Coturnix japonica: one gene and its partners. The protein of the gene in region 2 interacts with the protein of the main gene of each other region in a pairwise test. Links are inferred from orthologs where the notes say so. Each region holds a gene or a part of one and is shown on either strand. Other genes may lie near its edges. The genes, in order: FAM102A, SH3GL1, MTA1, SH2D4A and MAL2.

What was found.
Region 1: the proteins of SH3GL1 (region 2) and FAM102A interact in binary tests that used the Homo sapiens proteins (3 or more experiments, as listed by UniProt). The two-hybrid records come from large-scale screens. The link is inferred for Coturnix japonica from reciprocal best matches to the Homo sapiens genes SH3GL1 and EEIG1.
Region 3: the proteins of SH3GL1 (region 2) and MTA1 interact in binary tests that used the Homo sapiens proteins (3 or more experiments, as listed by UniProt). The two-hybrid records come from large-scale screens. The link is inferred for Coturnix japonica from reciprocal best matches to the Homo sapiens genes SH3GL1 and MTA1.
Region 4: the proteins of SH3GL1 (region 2) and SH2D4A interact in binary tests that used the Homo sapiens proteins (3 or more experiments, as listed by UniProt). The two-hybrid records come from large-scale screens. The link is inferred for Coturnix japonica from reciprocal best matches to the Homo sapiens genes SH3GL1 and SH2D4A.
Region 5: the proteins of SH3GL1 (region 2) and MAL2 interact in binary tests that used the Homo sapiens proteins (3 or more experiments, as listed by UniProt). The two-hybrid records come from large-scale screens. The link is inferred for Coturnix japonica from reciprocal best matches to the Homo sapiens genes SH3GL1 and MAL2.

The regions. Positions count from the first base shown.
Region 1 is NC_029532.1:3,586,143-3,590,283, reverse strand, and holds the start of FAM102A (protein FAM102A), read right to left. Parts: upstream 2,814-4,141; 5' UTR 2,662-2,813; intron 1,693-2,661; exon of another isoform or gene 1,629-1,692; 5' UTR 1,138-1,628; coding exon 992-1,137; intron 1-991. UniProt on the Homo sapiens protein: Key component of TNFSF11/RANKL- and TNF-induced osteoclastogenesis pathways, thereby mediates bone resorption in pathological bone loss conditions.
Region 2 is NC_029543.1:1,611,426-1,615,607, forward strand, and holds the start of SH3GL1 (endophilin-A2), read right to left. Parts: upstream 2,801-4,182; 5' UTR 2,386-2,800; coding exon 2,314-2,385; intron 1,350-2,313; coding exon 1,281-1,349; intron 1,171-1,280; coding exon 1,098-1,170; intron 359-1,097; coding exon 215-358; intron 1-214. UniProt on the Homo sapiens protein: Implicated in endocytosis. May recruit other proteins to membranes with high curvature.
Region 3 is NC_029523.1:3,943,568-3,947,081, reverse strand, and holds part of MTA1 (metastasis-associated protein MTA1), read left to right. Parts: intron 1-79; coding exon 80-197; intron 198-1,711; coding exon 1,712-1,814; intron 1,815-3,514. UniProt on the Homo sapiens protein: Transcriptional coregulator which can act as both a transcriptional corepressor and coactivator. Acts as a component of the histone deacetylase NuRD complex which participates in the remodeling of chromatin.
Region 4 is NC_029519.1:30,066,572-30,070,085, forward strand, and holds part of SH2D4A (SH2 domain-containing protein 4A), read left to right. Parts: intron 1-88; coding exon 89-236; intron 237-2,720; coding exon 2,721-2,937; intron 2,938-3,514. UniProt on the Homo sapiens protein: Inhibits estrogen-induced cell proliferation by competing with PLCG for binding to ESR1, blocking the effect of estrogen on PLCG and repressing estrogen-induced proliferation. May play a role in T-cell development and function.
Region 5 is NC_029517.1:122,955,373-122,958,886, reverse strand, and holds part of MAL2 (protein MAL2), read right to left. Parts: intron 3,157-3,514; coding exon 2,998-3,156; intron 527-2,997; coding exon 455-526; 3' UTR 1-454. UniProt on the Homo sapiens protein: Member of the machinery of polarized transport. Required for the indirect transcytotic route at the step of the egress of the transcytosing cargo from perinuclear endosomes in order for it to travel to the apical surface via a raft-dependent pathway.

The DNA of each region.
Region 1 (4,141 bases), on a different chromosome or scaffold from region 2:
CGATATGAGAAAGCACAATGCACTGCACCACAAAGAGGAAAATCAGACCAAACCAGGTTTTAGTTCTGGTCTAAAACACTTACCAGCAAACATAAGCACACACTGTACCTTTAAAATTGAGTAGTTACTCAGGGAAGTTAAAAAACAAGTTTGAATGCCATGGAAGGTTTCCTTCACATACTGGGGCAGAAAGAAAGCAAGTCCAGGCTGCTATGGAATTCACATTTGCATACTGCTGGTGATAATCTATGTGCACAGCTGGAAACAAAGCAGGTTTTTATTATTAGCAATTAGTAGCAGGTCTGCCTGAAGGAGCCTGAGAAACGCCGATAGATGATGACAGAATAACCTTATAAACCATGTGGCAGAATGATACCCATACGATAAATCATTAAAAAGAAAACACTGCAGCTATAAACTGGGGAGATGCAATGCTATTTGTTCATGGAGATAAACTGTATCTTTAGCACTGACAACTTTGACTCCAGGCAGCAGTTTTCCCTTGCACAGCAATTTGCAATGCAAAGCAAGCTCCTGACACTCTTATCAAGAAAAGTAACTTTGAAACACACGGAGAGCACAAAGCTGGGGAGGGTGATTTGCTTTTATACATGCAGCTTCCTACAGAGTTCATTTTCGAGCACTGCACGAAAGCAGGGCAGCACAACACCTAAAACAGCACATGAAAACATGGAAGGAGGGTGTTTTTATGTGGACTTCAACCAGAAAACCCAACTCCTTCAAGTGTGAGACCTCCTACACCCTCCCCATGTCTCTGTAAATCACAGCGCAGCTCTATCAGCCAACAATCTCCAAGCTTAGTTCTTCCCTGTATCTGAAAAATGATACGGCACATGGGGCCCCCAACAGAACAAGTGAAAACAGCTCAAGGAATAGGCAAGTGGTAGCCATATGCCAGAGCACTTGAGTGAAGAATAATCACGAAAATAAAAAGAATGGCCAGGAAGAAAATTTGCAAGCAGGTTCTTACCTGGTAGATAAGCTAGCAAAGTCACCTCCATCTAACAGCCTGATTTTGCAGAACAGGACCCCATTCACAAAGGGGACAGCAGTTAGCTCTTCGAGAGTAAAACATGTCTGAAACTTGAATTTCTTCTTCTTCATCAGGAAAGCCATGGGCAAATTCAGCGTGGAAAGCCCAGGAACTCCAAACAAGATGAGAGAGGAGTGGCTCAAAACACACACAGACAAGGAAAGGAACAGCGTTTGTTCCTGGAGCGTAAGCAGGGAGTGAGTTCCAGTTCAGTTACAACGACGGCCCAGCCTCAAATGCACGATCTTCTTCTCTTTGGTGGTCGGATCTGGCTGCGGGATCATTGCCACGACAGGCTTCAGGTGAGGAGGAAGAGGTCAGGTTAAATCTCTGCAACATCTCCAAGGGAAAAGGAAGGGTGATAAGGAAGTCTCAGCTCCAGACCAGCAGGAGCTGTCCCAGTTAGAGGCTGCAATGCCCCGACTTCAGCAGGACCCCTCCAGAAGGCATCTCTTGTAGGAAATCATCGTGAGTCTCTGAAGAAGCCTTAGGTCTGTGTGCAGCACATACACAATGCTTCCAGGTTCTCTCTCCTCTTCCTGTGCTACACCTTGGTACAGGTCCTCAGGTCAGCCTTTGGGAGGGAAATGAGTAAATTAGTCCCAGGCAGTCTCAGGCTCCTCCTCCTTCTCTAAAACCTGTTTGGATGGGTAATATTCAGCACAGACTCATGCCAATCTTAAGAGGTATGGCCCCAATTAGCCAGGTCCCAATACCCTCTTTCCCCCATTTGCCTGGGGCAAGCTTCGCTGCTGTCATGCCCCTCATAATTCCTGTTTTGCAAAGCAGCTCATAAAAAATCTGTTCTATTTTCACCCGTCATCTTCTGAAGCAGTTTACAGCCCACATCAGTCTAACCAGCACACGTAACTCTGTCTCAGGAAACGCATAGTCTGTTTCTTTTCTGTTTTTCCGACCAGCCCTAAGTGTTAGCACCTGTATCTCATAAACAGAGAAACCAGCAGAGGAGGAAAAGAGAAAGAAAAAGCAGCCTGCTCCAGATTACACAGCACAACAACCAAATCAGGTCATCGGGTGTCCATCTGCCAGGCCCACTGAGCTGAACTGCTTTACAGCATCAGCTCTGCACCAAGAAGTGACCCAATAACTCCCTTTGGGGGCCAGCAACAGTGGTTTCACTACATATTTATGCAACAACCAAGCCATGGAGGCTTAGGGCTTATTAGCATCAAAAAGCAACGAGGCTATAAACACCGAGCAGCCGATACTGAGAGCTGCAAAGCAGGGCTACGTAGGGCAAAGCTGCCTGCAGGGATACGCGGTTATAACCTCACTCCTGCTGCTGTAGGAGAGCAGGGAGGCTCATAGAGACCCGCTGTGCCCCAGGAGCCGTGCTGCCCGTGTATTGAGCCGTGCTGCCCGTGTATTGAGCCGGGTCTCGGCCTGCTCCCCCCCCTCACTCAGCTCCCCAGGCCTCAGACCCACACACTCGGCTGCCCCAAGCTCGCAGCCTGTCCCCTGCACCCCCAGGCCAGCTCTCAGCCCCACTCCCAACCCTTACCCAATGGTTAGACCCGCAGTGGGATCTCAGCCCTCCTCCCAGCTCCCATCCCGGCCCCTCGTCCCTCTTGCCGCCCCGCTCGCACCTCCTGCCCTCACCTCGCTCGGCCGCCGCTGCTCCCCGCCACAGCCGCCCCTACTAGAGTTACGCCAACTGCGGCCGCTACGCCAACGCCGCAGGCAGCCCTACGACAGCGCAAAAGCACTACCGCGCTTCGTGAATACCAACCCGACACTACGTAACCCCCCTTCCTCCCCGGGGACGGGGGGAGGGGAGGACGAGAGGCGCGCCACCTGATTGGCAGCATTTAAGAGGCGGGACGGGAAGAGCGAGGTTTTGATTGGTTCTTCTAGAGCGGGGGGGGAAAACAGGGCGGGGATTGGAGGAGGTGGATGTCGGTTCAAGGCAAGCCCCGCCCCCGTGGCTGAGGGAGTGGGCGGGACGAGGGGGCTCCGTAGTGGGTTCGGGGTCTCCACAGCGGGCGGGTCGGGGTGGCCGTTTGGGGCGGTCCTGGTTCACATCGGTTTGGCCGTTTGGAGGGTTCTGGTTCACATCGGTTCGGCCCATGTGCGTTCACTCAGGTTAAACAGCTCTTTAGGCGGCTGTGGGGTGCGTGGGGCTCGCTGAGGGGACAGCAGGCCTGTGCCCATGGAGCTGGGCCTGAGGTGAAGTGTCTGTGCCTCCCTGTGTGCTGCAGGTGAGGTGATGGCAGCTCTGATATCTCTATGTCCTCCTCAGCATTGCAGGTTGGCAGCCTGGCCTCCTTCACCAGCAGCTCTCCAAGGAAAGGCCCAACCAGACTCACTTTCCACGTGTGAGATGTGGTAACCAGCAGAACACATCAGCCAACTGTGCTTCCCTCCTGTTATTCCATCTGCTGCCCCGTCCCGTGCTCGGGGCTGGGTGCCCTGGTTAGGTAGGATTCCATTGTTTAAGGGCAAGCGGAACAAAATGTCTCTCCTTGTCCTGAAGGAGGCTGCAGTCATTGACGTGATTTGCCTATTTGTAAAGTCAGGGATGTGTTGCACAGAACTCACACGGTAGGGACTTTTCCCAACGCTGCTTTGCATGTCTGGCAAAGCTTGGATGAGAGCCTGGGATCCCTCGCTTTGCCAGGCTTTGATGCCCAGATTCCTTCCCTTTAATCTCTGCCATCTATACAGACAATACCAGAGCTATCAAATAATGCTACCGCAGAGCGAGCCTTTAAAAGGAAAATCAGCTAGGAAAAGTACACGGCAACATGTGTGGATGGAAGATAAAGGCTGGATTAGAGCAAACGCTGTCAGAGTTCTTGCTCACCAGGTTAAACAGACACAAACCTACGCCTGGGAAAGCATTGCTGGCGTTGGCGCAGTGAAACCATTGCAGGAGATGTCAGTGTTTCCATACTTGTTTGTGGAGGCTGCTTTTAAAGGCAGTGCCTGAATCCATCCCATCAGTTGATACCCAGTGTTTTCAGGGCCTCAGGACACTGATAGAAATGGGCTGGTTTTTTGCTTTCTGTGTCTTCTGTTATTGGGTAAGAGCTCAGCTTCTAAATAGGTTATATTTGCCTGGATGGG
Region 2 (4,182 bases):
AAGAAATGAGGCACAGCCGCTGCCATGCATTTGCTCTGAGACTGCTATAGATCTGGCACTCGTTACTGGCCTGGACCAAAGGCACATGCTGCTAAGTGATACAAAGGGTCATAGAGCCCTTTAGGAATCCAGAGGAACAGCTTGGAAATTTGGCACCGGACTTTGCTGTCTCATCTGCACGTTCCTGGAGGGAGCAGCCCCACGGGGCACTCACCAAAGTTGGAGTCCTCGCCCAGCTCCCTGCCGTAGCGGATCATGCAATCCCCCAGCAGCCCTTCTGACTGTGGATAGCCTGGGCTCTTCACCTGCCCACGGATCTTCGACATTGTGTTCAGCATGGATAGCTTGGCTCTGGAAGCTGGCAAAGAAACAGCCACAGCCGTGTTTGTAATTGCTTGGACTTGCCAGCAGCTGCTGGTCACTGCCAGCACTTCACTTTTTTTAAGTGACTCCCAAAGCCAAGAAGTGCTATTGTCATAATCTACCAGAAATATCACTTGCTACGAAAAGTAAAGTTTCTTTTCCAAGGCAGCAAACAAATATAGATCCCTACAGCTAACTGGTGAAGGCCAAAGGAGTTTCCCCAGCCCTCCCATAGTCCCTGGAGCATTCTCTGAACAAGCTGCTTGGAAACACACAGGGCAGCAGGCTCTGGAGGTGGTGGTTACAAAGCCAACCGACTCTTCCCAACCCAGAGATTATATTTTTTCTGGACACCCTGGTAAAAATAGGTCCCCTCCAGATCTCTCCTAGATCCAACGTTAAAGATTTGTCTGTTTTATTCACTGTTTGACAGCAACAGCAGTGTCTTTCAGCCCAGAAATACATCACTGGTCGAGATGGCTTTACAATCACAAAGCACCTGTGAGCTAGGGTAGGACCTCATTAGGCTCAGACTATTAGGAAAGCCACAGGAAATGTACAGGACAGCCCAGCATACATCAGGTAAAGGTAGGCAGAATACCTGATAACAAATATGGGCTTGGTGGCACACCTCAAGGTCGTGAAGTTTCTCTCTGAGGTCTCTCTGCACCTTCTGCCTATTTCCCTCTTACCCTCTTTGGGAGGCAAAGGATAGGAGAGGTCCCACCACTCACCTGGGTTTGGCTGCAGGTATTCTATTGTTCTGGCCAGTACTTCTGTAACTGCCTTGCTGGTCACATCCACTTTCTGTAGGAAAACAAGATGATCCAGCAGCAGTGAAGATCAGTTCAGGATTTTGGCAAGGTCACAGAAGGTGACATGGGTGATTTTAGGGATTTCTCCTATCTCTTGCTCACCTTTTCCATTTCCCTGAAGTCATCGTCAAGTTTGGTCCCTTCTGCCCCTCCAACCTTTTCACTGACAAGCTGCAGAAAAAGAACAAGGCAGGAAGAATCAGGCATGGTAGTGGCTGTTTACCTCATGCAGAGAGGTATAGAGTCCTGGGGATGGAAAGAGAACAGGGGTGGTCCAGACAGCGCCTGCAAGAGAAAGGAGGCAGTAGGAACAGCCCAAAGCATGGTAACAACACGTGGCTCTTTGCTAACACTGTCCCATTAAACAATCTAAATGTCCCCTACCCTCCCAAGGCACCACAGCTGAACCTTCAGACATAGGCAGGATATTCCCCACCTGGCAGAAGCTACAAAGCTCTTTAAATTCATAAGCACAGCTCCAACTCCAACGCTTGCTGGGAAAAGCAAGCAACAGCATTGTCTCTCAACTTTAATTTCACACAAGGCAAAATGCAAGTAAACAGGGAATTAAGATACTCTGCTTGCAGCAGCCAGTACAAGAACTAAGCTCAGAAAGAACCACTCAAAGCCTTAAACCACAACTCCTTGCAATCCAGATGGTGAGAGCTTAGGATCTAGGGCTCTGTATTTCAAGATTTTTTTAAAGAGAAGGATAAAGAGATTTACAGAAGCTACAGGAAAACGTTCAGATCCAATTATCAAGGTATCTCTGACGTCTGTTCTAAAACAAAGTGAACACGAGATGTTTGACACAGCTGGAAAGGCAGGGTTGCTTTTGGCTATCTGCATGAAGGGCTTATCGGCTTGCTTCAAAATGCCATTTAGTGTAAGAAAAGACTTCTTCCCAAAGCTTCACCATTCGCCTTCCTGAGCTCAAAGACGTGTGTCAAAAGTGCTTTATTAAATCCAACTGAAGAAGTGTCCTTCCATGCAACCCAAATGGAGGGGGATATCTCCTGCCCTGTTCCCTCGTGGCAAGGCAACACCTGGGGTTCAATAGACTGGCCAGAGCTACCTGCAACACATCCACAAGCAACTGCCAGGCCCCAAAATGGGTCCGTGCACACTAAATTACCTCCACAGATATCAAAAGTGGTCTAGGAAATGGCTGCTGCCTCCCAAGCTCTTGATGCCCGCCACAGGCCATTGCCAGGATTCCTCGTGCTTGTAGTCAAAACTCCAGCTCTGGACAAACAATGAAGGTTTGTTTACTTCAACATCAAATACCTGATTTTATCAAGTCTTTCTTCCTGTGGTGCCCATGGGGACTCAGTGGTTCCTTAGTTGTTAGAGGACAAGGAGAAAAAAAAACTCTTTAGGCAAACATCCAGTTCCAAATGCACTTAGAGATACCCCATAAGGTCCGTGTGACTGCACTCACTGGGCAGTGCTTAGTTCCAAAATCAAATGATGAGCTGCAAACCAAGGTGTTGGGCTGAGCACTGACTGCTATGGCTGATATGCTCCTCGTGCCTCAGTGGATGGATATCTGCAGCTGCTCAGAGCTTCAAGGCACGCAGACATTACAGGGAAGAGGCTTAGAGAGCAGACAGCTCTTCTGAATGACAGCTCTGCACTGAGCAACAGTAGCATAAATCATCCCAAGGCCAAAATATCCTTTTAGAGCAAGAGTTTGAAAGAACTGAGATAGAAGGCAGCAGCCTTTCAGGGCCTCACTTCACCTGGGCAAGGGCTTTTTTCTCTTTCTGGGGACCTCAGATGTTTCACAAAGAGATCGCTGTGGTTCCTCTGGGCATTTAAACACTGGGGTCAGTGCTCTCCAGGTTCATCCAGCCCAGCTCTCAACTCTGGATTTCATTTTCAGATGGATGCCCAGATGGATCTTCACACATCCCTCTGTGTGTGCAGCCTCACAGTGGTCCATGCACAGCCCTCCTGACCTCACCAGCTTTCTTTCCAGCACCTGAAAGAACATGGGAAGTGCAGGACTATGGATTCAGAGTGTGCCAGGAGGCAATAGGGGCTCCAAGGGGTGTTATCACTGCAGAGCTGCCTGCAGATGGGCAAACAACCAAAACTTGAATTCTTGCTTTTTTTGGATCTTTGCTCTGTGCTTGGGGTGCCAGCACACACTTCTGCCTGCCAGCTCTGAGCTGGGGAAGTACACATTCCTCTATGGAGCAGGGAAAATAAACCACAAAGCGGTTGCTCTGCTTTCCAGACCCTGTGTGGGCACTCACTCCCAGCTGCCACCACCCACTCTTGTGCTTCTATGCCAAAAGACAGCTCGCTATGCAGCCTCCATGACCAGAAAGGGGCTTCTACACAGCCCAGAGCAGCACCTCCAGAAAGATCCTTCCCTCTGCAATAAACCTGAGAAGAGTACAATTAAGTGGAGTAATTCCATCCCTGCTTTTCTCCACCCACCCACAGATTGGCAGCCCAGAAAGCTGCAAATACTGCCTCTGATGGGGAGCTCTGCCATAATCAGGGACTGCATGCCATGTTGTACACGGTGATCACCACAGTGATTTTGGAGGCTTAGCACTCTCTCAGAGAGCACAGAGATGTGAAGGAGGAAAATTCGCTTGCAGGCTAATTTAATCCTCCTTTTGACATCCAAGAAATGCTACTGGTGCCCTGCTGTGAAGGAAGAATAAGACTGAGGTTTTCTCCCTGCTGGCTCTAATTAAGCTACGAGGCTTCATCTCAGGAGGAAAGAAGGAGGGACTGTGTGCCATCTCCATTCCAACAGTCCCAAATCTGCCAGGCAAGAGGACAAACTAATGCAAGTTCCCTCCTTTGCCAGCAAGGATGTGAGCCAGGGACATGGCCAGCTTAATGTTAGCCCACAGCCGTCCCTACTGGAGAAGGGATCTGATCAGTACTAATCAATATCCAAGGGGAAGGGGTCAGAAGGATGGGCTCAGGCTACGTTTGGTGGTGCCCAGTGACAATACAAGGGACACCCAGGAGAGGGCAT
Region 3 (3,514 bases), on a different chromosome or scaffold from region 2:
TAAAAGCTTTCTACTATATATAATATGGTAAAAATGTAAGCTAGTAATACTTTATTTTCTGTTTTTGTTCTATTTTTAGGATTTCTTCTTCTATTCACTAGTGTACGATCCTCAACAAAAGACTCTACTTGCTGATAAAGGAGAAATCCGAGTTGGAAACAGATACCAGGCAGATATAACAGACTTATTAAAAGAGGGTAATTTCCATAATTTAAGTTGTCAGGAGGCCATGTGGAATGCAGCCACTTTTATGTATGCAGCCTGTGTGGGAGACAGAGGTTCCTACCACCACGTCCTGTGTGCATCACTGCTTTGGTTTGTTAGGGACTGAAGCAGTTGCCCACTGCATGCAATTAGTTGTGTCTCAGCCCAGGCTCTAAGCGGGCATTTGTCCAAATCATAAAAGTTGTTGAAACAAATTGAATTAATTGCCTCTCTCAGAGCTTGCGCTCATTTTAGGAGATTTCAGAATTTCTATGGGAAGCACAGATTTCCATCGCATCTGTATAGCCTTTGTGTTTTTAATCGAGCCTCGCTTCCCTGTGAGAGCCGCTCCCAAATTATTGCCAATTAAATGCTGTCTCCCCACATCAATTTGCCCATTATTGCTGGATGCCTTTTCCTCAGAGCCCCCTGCCTGTCTGCTGCTCTTGGCTTCCAGCCTAGACTTCTCACCTGCAGAACAAGCAGGAGGAATTTGCTGCCTTGAGCACGTTGTGAGACCTCAGCCTGCCCTGCTCATGAAGCAGAAGGAACACAAGGACACATGCTCAGGAAAATGGGCTGTTAGTTAACAGATACCAGCTTCACACTGGTTCTTGCACTGCAATGGGTGGAAGAGCTCTTCTCTGAGACCTGTGTAGGGCTCAGGCCAATCTGTTGATGCTCTCAGAGAGCTGGTGTTATGAGCCATGTTGAAAGGGGCTCTACAAAACTCCCCAGGCAGAGAGGTGAAAGCAGTGAGGCACCTCAGTCTGCTTCAGAGCTTTGCAGATGCATAAAACAGATACTGTTGGGCTAATGTTAGAATAAGCCAACAAATTGGTTGGGACTCTTGTTTAATTTGTCTGTGGCATTTATTTGGCAGCTGGGCTGGCCTCCTAAGTGAGGATGAACTAATTTGAAAGGCATTCTCCTCCTTCAGCCATCAACATGGGAATTCAGAGAAGGATAATCTCCAGATGTTTCAAAAGGGGTTTGAAATTAAAAAGAGAGACTCAGCTCCTGTATTTTTTCCAAGATATTTTGGTTTGTTTAGCATTGGGAGAGTAGAAGTAAAAGAATCTGATGCTATGATTTGCCCCTTAGAAAGCAGCTGCTGCAAACAGGGCCAGCTACCCTTTGTCTGCTCAGAGCAGCTGGGAGTGTGCCTGCTTTCCTGGAACTGCGGCCAGGTAGAGGAGAAGGAGAGAGAATCAGGGGAGGAGGCTGAAGAGAGGAGGCTGTTTGGGGGAAGGACGTGCTCTGTTTCCCATCACTTGTGCCATTAGATATCAGCTCTTCAGCATCCGGTGGCCTAATTTGGATGAGTTGGGTTGATGCATCTGTCAAGCTGAAATTGTCTCAGCCAAATGGATGAATGAAATTTTCACTGTCAAGGCAGAGTATCTGAGTTGATTTGGTGGTTAAATAATTGTGAGATAAGAAACCAGGCAAGTAATTTTATTTCCAAACAGCCACGCTGAGCGTTTCTAACATGTTTTTCAACCAGGTGAGGATGATGGAAGAGATCAGTCAAAACTTGAAACAAAAGTTTGGGAAGCCTTCAACCCACTAGTAGACAAGCAGATAGACCAGTTCTTGGTGGTAGCACGGTAAGAGCAATTTATCACTTCTTTGAATAAGGTTTTAGTAACTCATCTTTTCTAAGCACTTTATTTTTGGTGTGTTCTTTATACTTTACTGGTACGAATGCTGGTTTGGTTGCTTGATTCATGTGTTTCATTTTGAAATGATGGACGTGTTAACATGCCTTCCTGGGAACTGCATGACTTTGTGAACAGCTACTTGGATTTACAGCTTTTACTTTCAAAAAGTTAATCATTTTCTTCTATCTTATGTGAAAATGATCCTGTATCTGGTGAGGTTTTCCAAGTTCTTTGGCCAGCAGTGAGCTGAATTCCTGACAGTTCATTAGAGTCCACTTTGTCCCTTTTTTCAAATCCAGCCACGTTTCAACATGCGATGATAGTTAAGTTGTAATAGTTAAAAGCGAAGATGTTGGAATCTAGGCACTAGAAAACAGGTAGAACGAATAAAGTAAATCCCTGCAAATGAGTACAGATGAGGAGTGGATGAGTACAGATGAGGAGTGGTGAGTTTTATGCTTCTACTTAAACGCAAGGCGGTCTGTCCATCAGTGTTTGCTTTATAAAATGCTTGTGACCCTTTTCAGTGTTGTTTGTTTATATGAACAGAAGCTGATACTAAAAGTTAATGTCTACAATTAAACAAGGAGGTAGTGCTCTCCAAACTGTCTCCTGGGTAAGTTTTTAAGACTGCGGAAGCATGGGAGGAAAGCAGTGTGAGTAGTAGATGGTTAGTTAGACCATCTATAGTCAGTGGAGCAAGTTGCTATTAGATATGGGGAGGAAGGGGGTGTGTTTTCCCCCCCCTCACTCCGCACACACATCTTGAGTTACCACACTGCTGAACTTTCCTCTTGAATTTTCTTGGGTGTGGTATTGCTGTGTCTATAGTGGGTTAGTTAATGGGGTGTCTCCTGAGGAGATAACATGAGAGCTCATGTGGAAGAAACTGTCTGGAACGGACTCTTAATTCTGATTGGAGCTGTTGAATGATGCAAAAAGAATGCATTTATGAAACAATAATAAATGCTTTCAACGCGTTGAATGATACAGACTTAGGAAAATACTAGGGGGAAAGAAAAGGGCAGAGTTAAGGAGAATTGAGTTAAAATGTGGAGATTTAAGTGTGCAAGACAAGAAGTTTCTGTGCTCCATAAGTAGTGCCTCCTCTTTATTTCTATGGAAACTGCAACAGATACAAAGAGCACAATAACGCTGTTTGGTAGAGCAAATTCTCAGCTGCAAAATGCTGTTTTTCAGCATAGTCACCACCATTAGCTATGCATTTTTTCCAGCAATGAACAAGAGCCTGTGTGTCACGCTCATAGAAATCTGCAGCAGCAGTGGTGACCCACTGTTTCACAGCTGCTACGATGGTGGTGTTGCTAGGAAAAAAGCGCCTGTGCAGCCCATCTTTCATCAGCCCAAATAGATGGAAATCAGAAGGTACCAAATCTGGACTATATGGTGGGTGTGGTAGGACAGTCCAGCCAAGACTGGCAGTGTGCTCCACTGTCTTCAAACTGGTATGGGGCCTGGCTTAAGGCTGTCATCTTCTCTGACCTGACTGTGGATATTTGAGCCTTCAGCTTAGTCAGCATGGTGATGTAGCAGTCAGAGCTGATGGTATGTCTGGCTTTCTGGAAATCCAGAAGGATCACCTATGTCGTGTCCTACAAGGCAGTGCACTTTACGTGCTGAGAGCT
Region 4 (3,514 bases), on a different chromosome or scaffold from region 2:
ATGGAATCCCTAGTTTTTCAAAACTAGCTAAAAAGCAGGACTAAAACTAGCCTGGGACAAAGCACTGAACACATCATTTCTTTCACAGATGAAGGGAGGACACAGGAGAAATTCAAGAGAAGAGACTACAGTCCAGCTGAAGGCAATACCACAAAGCCATGTACCACAAAGCCATGCATGCTCAGAGAAGACGTTGCAGAAATCTGATGAGAATGAGCCTGAATGGCAAGAATCCTGTAAGATCTTAGGATGATCTTTTGTAAGAACTTTTCCTATAGGGCTTGAGAAATCTTAGAGCTCTGAGTGGTCATTTCAGTCATTCTCCTGCAAAACTGGAACTCAGTATTTCTCAGTTAGTAGGTAGAGAGTACTGTCAAAAAACACAGAGATGCAGCATCAGAAAATTTTCCGAGTCCACACAGCATTGAAACTAGAGCTGGGCAGTGAGATGGCAAATTTATCCTACAGAAAATTCTCCACTTGTAAATATTTCCCATTTTCAGTCTCTTCTGTATTTCGATTAAAGAGCTTTTGTTTTTAATTGAAAGATAATAGATTTAAATATTAAGCAATGTCAAGCAGAATGAGTCTTGCTGGCATTTGACAGCCCTCAGATACCATATGAAAATGATAGGACCCACATGAGCGTAGCCAGGGTAATTAATTTTAAACTAGAAGTAGGCCCTTGGCAGAAACTTGAAGTAGATGTTGCTCATGTGGAAAAGAATAATAGGTAGTGAGGACAAACTAAAAGGCATAATTTCAAAAGCACCTGGTTGATAGCAAACTTTTCAGACATCAGAAATGAGTGGGGAGGGCTTTTGCCACTTACTTAATTCTGTGCAGAAGATCCTGAGGCCTGAGTAAGGCTCCTTCTTACACAACAGAACTGTATTGTGGTGAGGTAAGCTGATCTGAGACCTCAGAAATAATGTGAAAGATGAAAAAAAGTATTGCATAAAACACAAAAAAGGGGCCACTCCAAATCTCCCTGCTTTCTACCTTCCCTTCCTTGAGGTAGGACTTGATGATCTTGGAAGTCTTTTCCAACCTAAGCAATTCTATGATTCCCTGCGAGGCACAGTCCTCTCATCTGGTTCCATTTCAGACACAAAAAAATCTCATTGATCCAGAGCCCTGCCACACATTGCTAATGTAAAGATTTAAACAACTGGATCAGAAATGACAAAACAGTGTAAGACTTACATTAACGTCTACCACTGCTGCCAAGTATGTCCTGAACTCTCTACTTAAGTTATTACGATGACTACATTTCCTTCTAGGATCTCTCATAGTAACCACATACCTCAAAGGTGATTTTTCAGTGTAGCCTGAGTTGAAAAGATATTTCAAACTTGACTCCTTTTGAGGGAATCTTGCTGTGCAGCTTTCTCAGAGACTGGAACAAAGGGTCACAAGCTTAGTACACAGAAGATATTGAGATACACCCTGACACTCTGTTTGCCTTTGTTTCCATCCAGGTTCACGTTCTGCTCCTCACATCTTCCTTTCCTGGGGAGAAAGAAAACTGAAGTCAAACTTGATGCTTTTTTTTCCCTCACTGTTCAGTAGATGGCAATACTGTACTATCATTTGTCTCCACTTTAGGCCAAACCTTTTTTGTTTCTAATTAAAAAATTGAATTTGATTACAAAAGCACAGAAATCACTAAGCATAGCTCAGGCTGGAGAGCCAGTTACTCAACAAAAACAAACAAACAATAATATCCAGCTAAGTTCTCTACTCCACAAAACAGTTACAGCAACACTCCCTTCTCTTTGCAAGGCCCATCAGGATTTTCAAATCCTTTAGAGGATTCATTAGTGGTCGTTTCAGCAATTTTTTTGCCTCCCCGGTCTCCTGGAAATAGAAACAAATGTTTTTGTTCATGTATTGCTGTGGCTTTTCCAACATTATCTTACCACATGCAGTGTAAGATCTCTCTAACTCCTGATCTTATCAAAATTGCAAGGACTGCCTCAGTGCACAAATTAAAATGAAAGGCTGAAGGGCCCTTTGCTTCTCCCATCCTCCTTTCTCCCACCCCTCCAGCTTTTCAAGAAAGACATAATGGTACAATTTGTAATTGAGTGAGGATTTTAATTTGACAAAGTAATTGTGCTTCCCTCCTCCCCCCCCCCCCTCCCAAATTTCATTCCAAAAAGTCTGTGGGCCAGCTGAAAACATTTATTTACCTGATTGGATAACTGTTCCTTCTTGCTCAGGTCTCCGCTCACACAAAAGGCATCACAGAAATTTATGACTGAACCAAGTCACATGAAACAAAACCAAGTCATTTCTAAGTACAAAGTTAGAACCCAGATTTTTATCTGTTGAAGGAATAAGAATTGGGTTCTTTTAAAACAGTAGATGCCCAAAAGTGATGGGAGAGAGGTAACAAACGTTGTTACAGATAAGTGAATCTTTCATTCAGTGGCCAGAGTAGCTGAGTCACTCAAGGCTTGCGAGGAAGATAAATGACTTCCAATACAAGCAACCTAAGATGCCTGCTTGGAAATAGAGGAGAGGAAGTACCTTAGTTCCAAAGCTCTCTCCCTCCACAGTAACACTGTTTGTTCCTAGTGCTGGGACACAGAGAGAACCTAAATGCTCCGAAATGCGTTATTTCTCACCTCCAGCTATCAGAGAGATGGCTAAGCAGCAGCAAGCTCAGAACTTGCCTGCTTGTTCACTCCAGTATGACTGCTTTTCTGTTCCAGTGCGGAAATCCAAGGCAGCAGATGAGAAGAGACGCTCCCTCGCACGACAGGCCAGAGATGACTACAGGAGGCTTTCACTGCAGGGAGCCCACAGAGGGAAGCAGGCAGACATATCCAAGAACGCCACAGCAGGAGATCGGCGACCGCTCCAATACCCTCCTCTCCCACCCAAGCCTAAACTTCTACCTCCTGTGACGACGAATGGCAGAGCAGTTAGGTGAGAAAAATGTGCACTGTTGAAGGGAAGGGAAAGGGGATGAGATACTTCTGCTCTGGCAAGGGCTGGTTGAGATGAAGATGCCTGTTCTCTTCATACAGAGGAAACACTCTACTGGGAAAAATAAGAAGGCTAAACTATATTCCAGCATAGGGTATGAAGACTGTGGCACTAAAAACAAAGACAATGGCACATTTACTGAGTACCAGCATCACAAGATTTGCATTGCTTGCTTTTGCCCAACTGAGAGAAATGTCCCTAAATCATGAGAGCTGCTAATCAGCAAGCCCTCAGGTCCAACACCTCAACTATCTCAGTTGCTCCTAGTCACCATTCTCTTAGCTCTGCCTTTCTTAGCCATCTCTCCAAACACCCAGCCTCTCAATTATACTGAGCTCGTAGAGGTACAAGGCATTTTCCAACAGTCAAGTTCTCTTTTTGCCATATGTGAAAGTCAGATTCAGTGACAAGTTTATATAACAGAACACCCTAAGCCTAAAATATGTAGTACGTCCTCTTTGATAGGTGTCCACTGAAAACCATACAATTTTGTTCATAGCTGCATTACTGTAAGCCT
Region 5 (3,514 bases), on a different chromosome or scaffold from region 2:
TGACTCTACAAAGAGCCTCAAGGTCCTACCTGTGTGGAACACACTGTAATGCTGCAGCACACGTAGAGCTCAATCCTAGGCCTTAACAAGGGGGTAGCTCTTTTAGCTGCCTATGCAGGTAACATGTCTGTTTAGTTTCAGTTTTCTTCCTGTTCTTCTGGTTTAGCACCAGAATTCGGTTATCTGCTTGTAACATCTGTTTATCTCTGAACTCTGGATTACAATTCAACAAACAACGTTTCTAAGGAGTTCCCAAAGAAAGTAAAAAATAAAAAAGAGGAAGAGACAGAACCTTCTGTTAAAGAAATCCTGATTAAGGGTTATTTGCATTTCAGCACTTGGAAACGAATTTTAAGCAAAAAGTCTTTTTTGGAATTACATTACAGTAAAACAGACAAGTAGTACTTAATTTGATCTGAAGTTGAACTCTTGGGAATCAAAGTCTCTTCAACTGCTATAGCTTCCATCTCCTCAAAGCCAGGGCTGTGCTGAAACCATAACAAACAGCTGTTGCAAAGGCAAAAATCTAAAGGATGAGCAGGGAGAAAAGAGAAAGAAGAGAAAAAAAGTGAATCACACATTATATTGCTCTACATATTTTTTTCTATTTTAAATTAGTGTAACAACACAAACGACTCAAAAGGTACCCCCCCAGTAGTAAAGACAGACCTGGTATCATCTGAAGCCTTCTCATAAACTCTGTTTTAAGCCCACCTTATTGTTATTATCTTAGCTGCTAGCTGCTGAAGATATTTTGACATAGGATATAAACAGAAGAGGTTGTGTGTTATTGTAGAAATTAAGCGCTTGATATTTCAGTTTCCTCTTATCTAGACTGAGAATCTAAGATTAGTATTTCATTAGAAAGTATCCAGGTAAATGCCTTTACTGGCAAACAATGAACGAGATGTCCCTCCAAACAGCAGAGCCTTTTACTTGCAGAAAGAAACAGTTGGGCCTCTTCAACCAGAGAAAAAGACATGACAGATTGTTGAGAAATGTCAGGAAGATGCTACAGCTCAAGAAAATGAACAGATAAGAACTGTAGATAGTGCCACGGCAAAAGTGAGTATGTAACATAAACAAGAAGGGAGAAGTTAGAAACTGAGTTGGAAGTAACAAAAATGTCTCATATTGTCCACTACTGATCAAGGACACTTTCTCTTAGAACATATAGATTTGATCCAACGATAACAACCTTGATTCCACACATGCACTGATTTGATAAATCAAGGTTTGAATAGATCCTAGGAGTATTATTCATAAAAGCAAAAGATACATTTTAATTGCAGTATACACAACTAGAAAGTCATTTTCAGATGGAAAAGTTAGCAAGGCCTTATCTTATTTGTTTGTAGACTGTTTTACTGATGTGTTTCAAAGGGTCACTTTTTGTTTATTTGTATGCTCTGACTTCCTAATCAGGTACTTTTAATTAAAAAAAAAAAAAAAAAAAAAAAAAAGAAGAAGATACTAAAAACTACATCATTTGATTCACCATCTCCCACCATCTCTTAATTAACAGATAAGGTGAGTTACAAAATCACATCCTCTTACTTCATCTGAACAAAGATCCAAGGGTTGTGAAGTACTGAACTCTTCTTAGAAAAGAAGGAGAGTATGAAAGAGGTAAAGAGTCTTTGTATTCCTCAGTACTTTGTTGTTGGAGAGACACATGAGTTACCACGTATCAAGTAAGATCTGAACACACTGAAACAAGGACTGCGGAGCTACTTTGAAGTATGGAATTTGAGACATGTAATTAATTCAAAGCTCTCCACCAGTTTAGACACAGTTGAGAGACATCATCTGTCTACCAGCCATGGTCATACAGGAATTTGTGCTGGACTATGTCACAGGCAAGTGGGTAATGGTGAGGAATTTGTGTCTTGAAGACTGACATACTCAATTCACTCTTTCAGAGCCTAGCTTGCCAAAGTACAAGGCCTTTCTTTCCTAATCTTGAAGAAACGGTGTAACTCTTAGACGTTGGGTTCATTCATTTTGACCCACTCTAATATGAGCTGAAGGTATTTATTGTGTAAAATCTACGGTTATCTAGTTCTGAAGACAAGAGATACCCCCAAAATGATTCAGAAACTTAATAAATGTAGGAAGTTCCTTTAAGTATGTGAGATGCCCTGGAAGATACAAATACAAACAAACAAATCCCACAGCCCAAACTCAGAAACACAACAATAACCAAACCAACCAACCAACCCAAAACACAAAACAAGCAGCAGTTTCAGTTCTTCCAATTAATTCTGCTGGCACACCACTACTTGCCATTCAGGAGTCCAGCTAGGGAGAAAGCTGAAGGTCTGTGTATTTTCTGACTCAGCAATGAACACACACATCACCAGATATGGTGATTCAGTGATGATGCAATTATAGTGATAAAAAGGCAATCTGAGCTTAGCTTAGAGAGCTTTATTGATTAATAAAAGCTCTCTAATCCTTGCCACAGGAGATAGCACGCCCCTTGCAGCTGCTTTTTATGCTTGACATCAGAAAATATGTACCTGGAGCTTTATAAGGAGCTAGTCCAACATTTTTCCCTATGGCATGCTCAGGACTATCTAAAAGGTATCAAAACACCCAAGCAATTACAAGTTTGAGAGCAGGCTTGAAAGTCATACCTGACACTTTGATGAAGGCTCAGTTTTCATCTTTTGCTTCTATTTCAATACCTAGCATTATTTTTACTAAATATCTCACCTAAAAACTAGATTCTGTAGTAATCACAGACTTAAAACACTACTGTAAACAGTACCATCTAAGCATCTATCTCGTTAGGCTCCATTAACAGATCACTGCACTTTTTTTGCATGCCACTGTAAGAATGGCTGATTATTCCAGAATGTTTGCTGCTTTCAAAGACTATTTTCTTCCTCACAATCCCTCTTCCCATTCCAGCGCAGTTCCCAAGTTGAAAGGCTGGTTACCAGTGCTTACATCAGAATTCCACTGCTAGGTACAAGTTCATGAAATACATACCGAGGCTGCTATGCTTATGTTATATTCATGATCACCCAGAATAGTCACAGATGTGGTGGAATTTAATCTGCGAGGGTAGTGATGCAGGGATGTAGTTGCTGCTTGCAGTAGAAAAGCTCCAAAATAAAAGACAAAAGTAGCACCATGGAAAAGGAAGTCCTGAAAAGCAAACAACAGGTTCAGTCCAGGCTGCTATACATATCTAACCCTTCTAGTCTCAGCATAAATGAAATCCAACACAGAAACATGAAACAAGCAGTGATAATAATCGTTCATAAGCAATGCTTAAGCACAACATATTTTCATAACTGCCTACAATTATAAGCAACTCAACATAATTAGTAATAAAGGGCAGCCCTCCCTCTCCCCAAACCCTGCATTCTTTCAAATTAAGAGGCATGTACTCATCTACAAGCACGTGTGCTGACCTTTTCAGATCACTTTAAAGCTAAAAGTGGGAGCTTACAGAATTCTCCCCTAGTGAGGCTTAGGTTAAAAACAGGGGACATACAGGCTA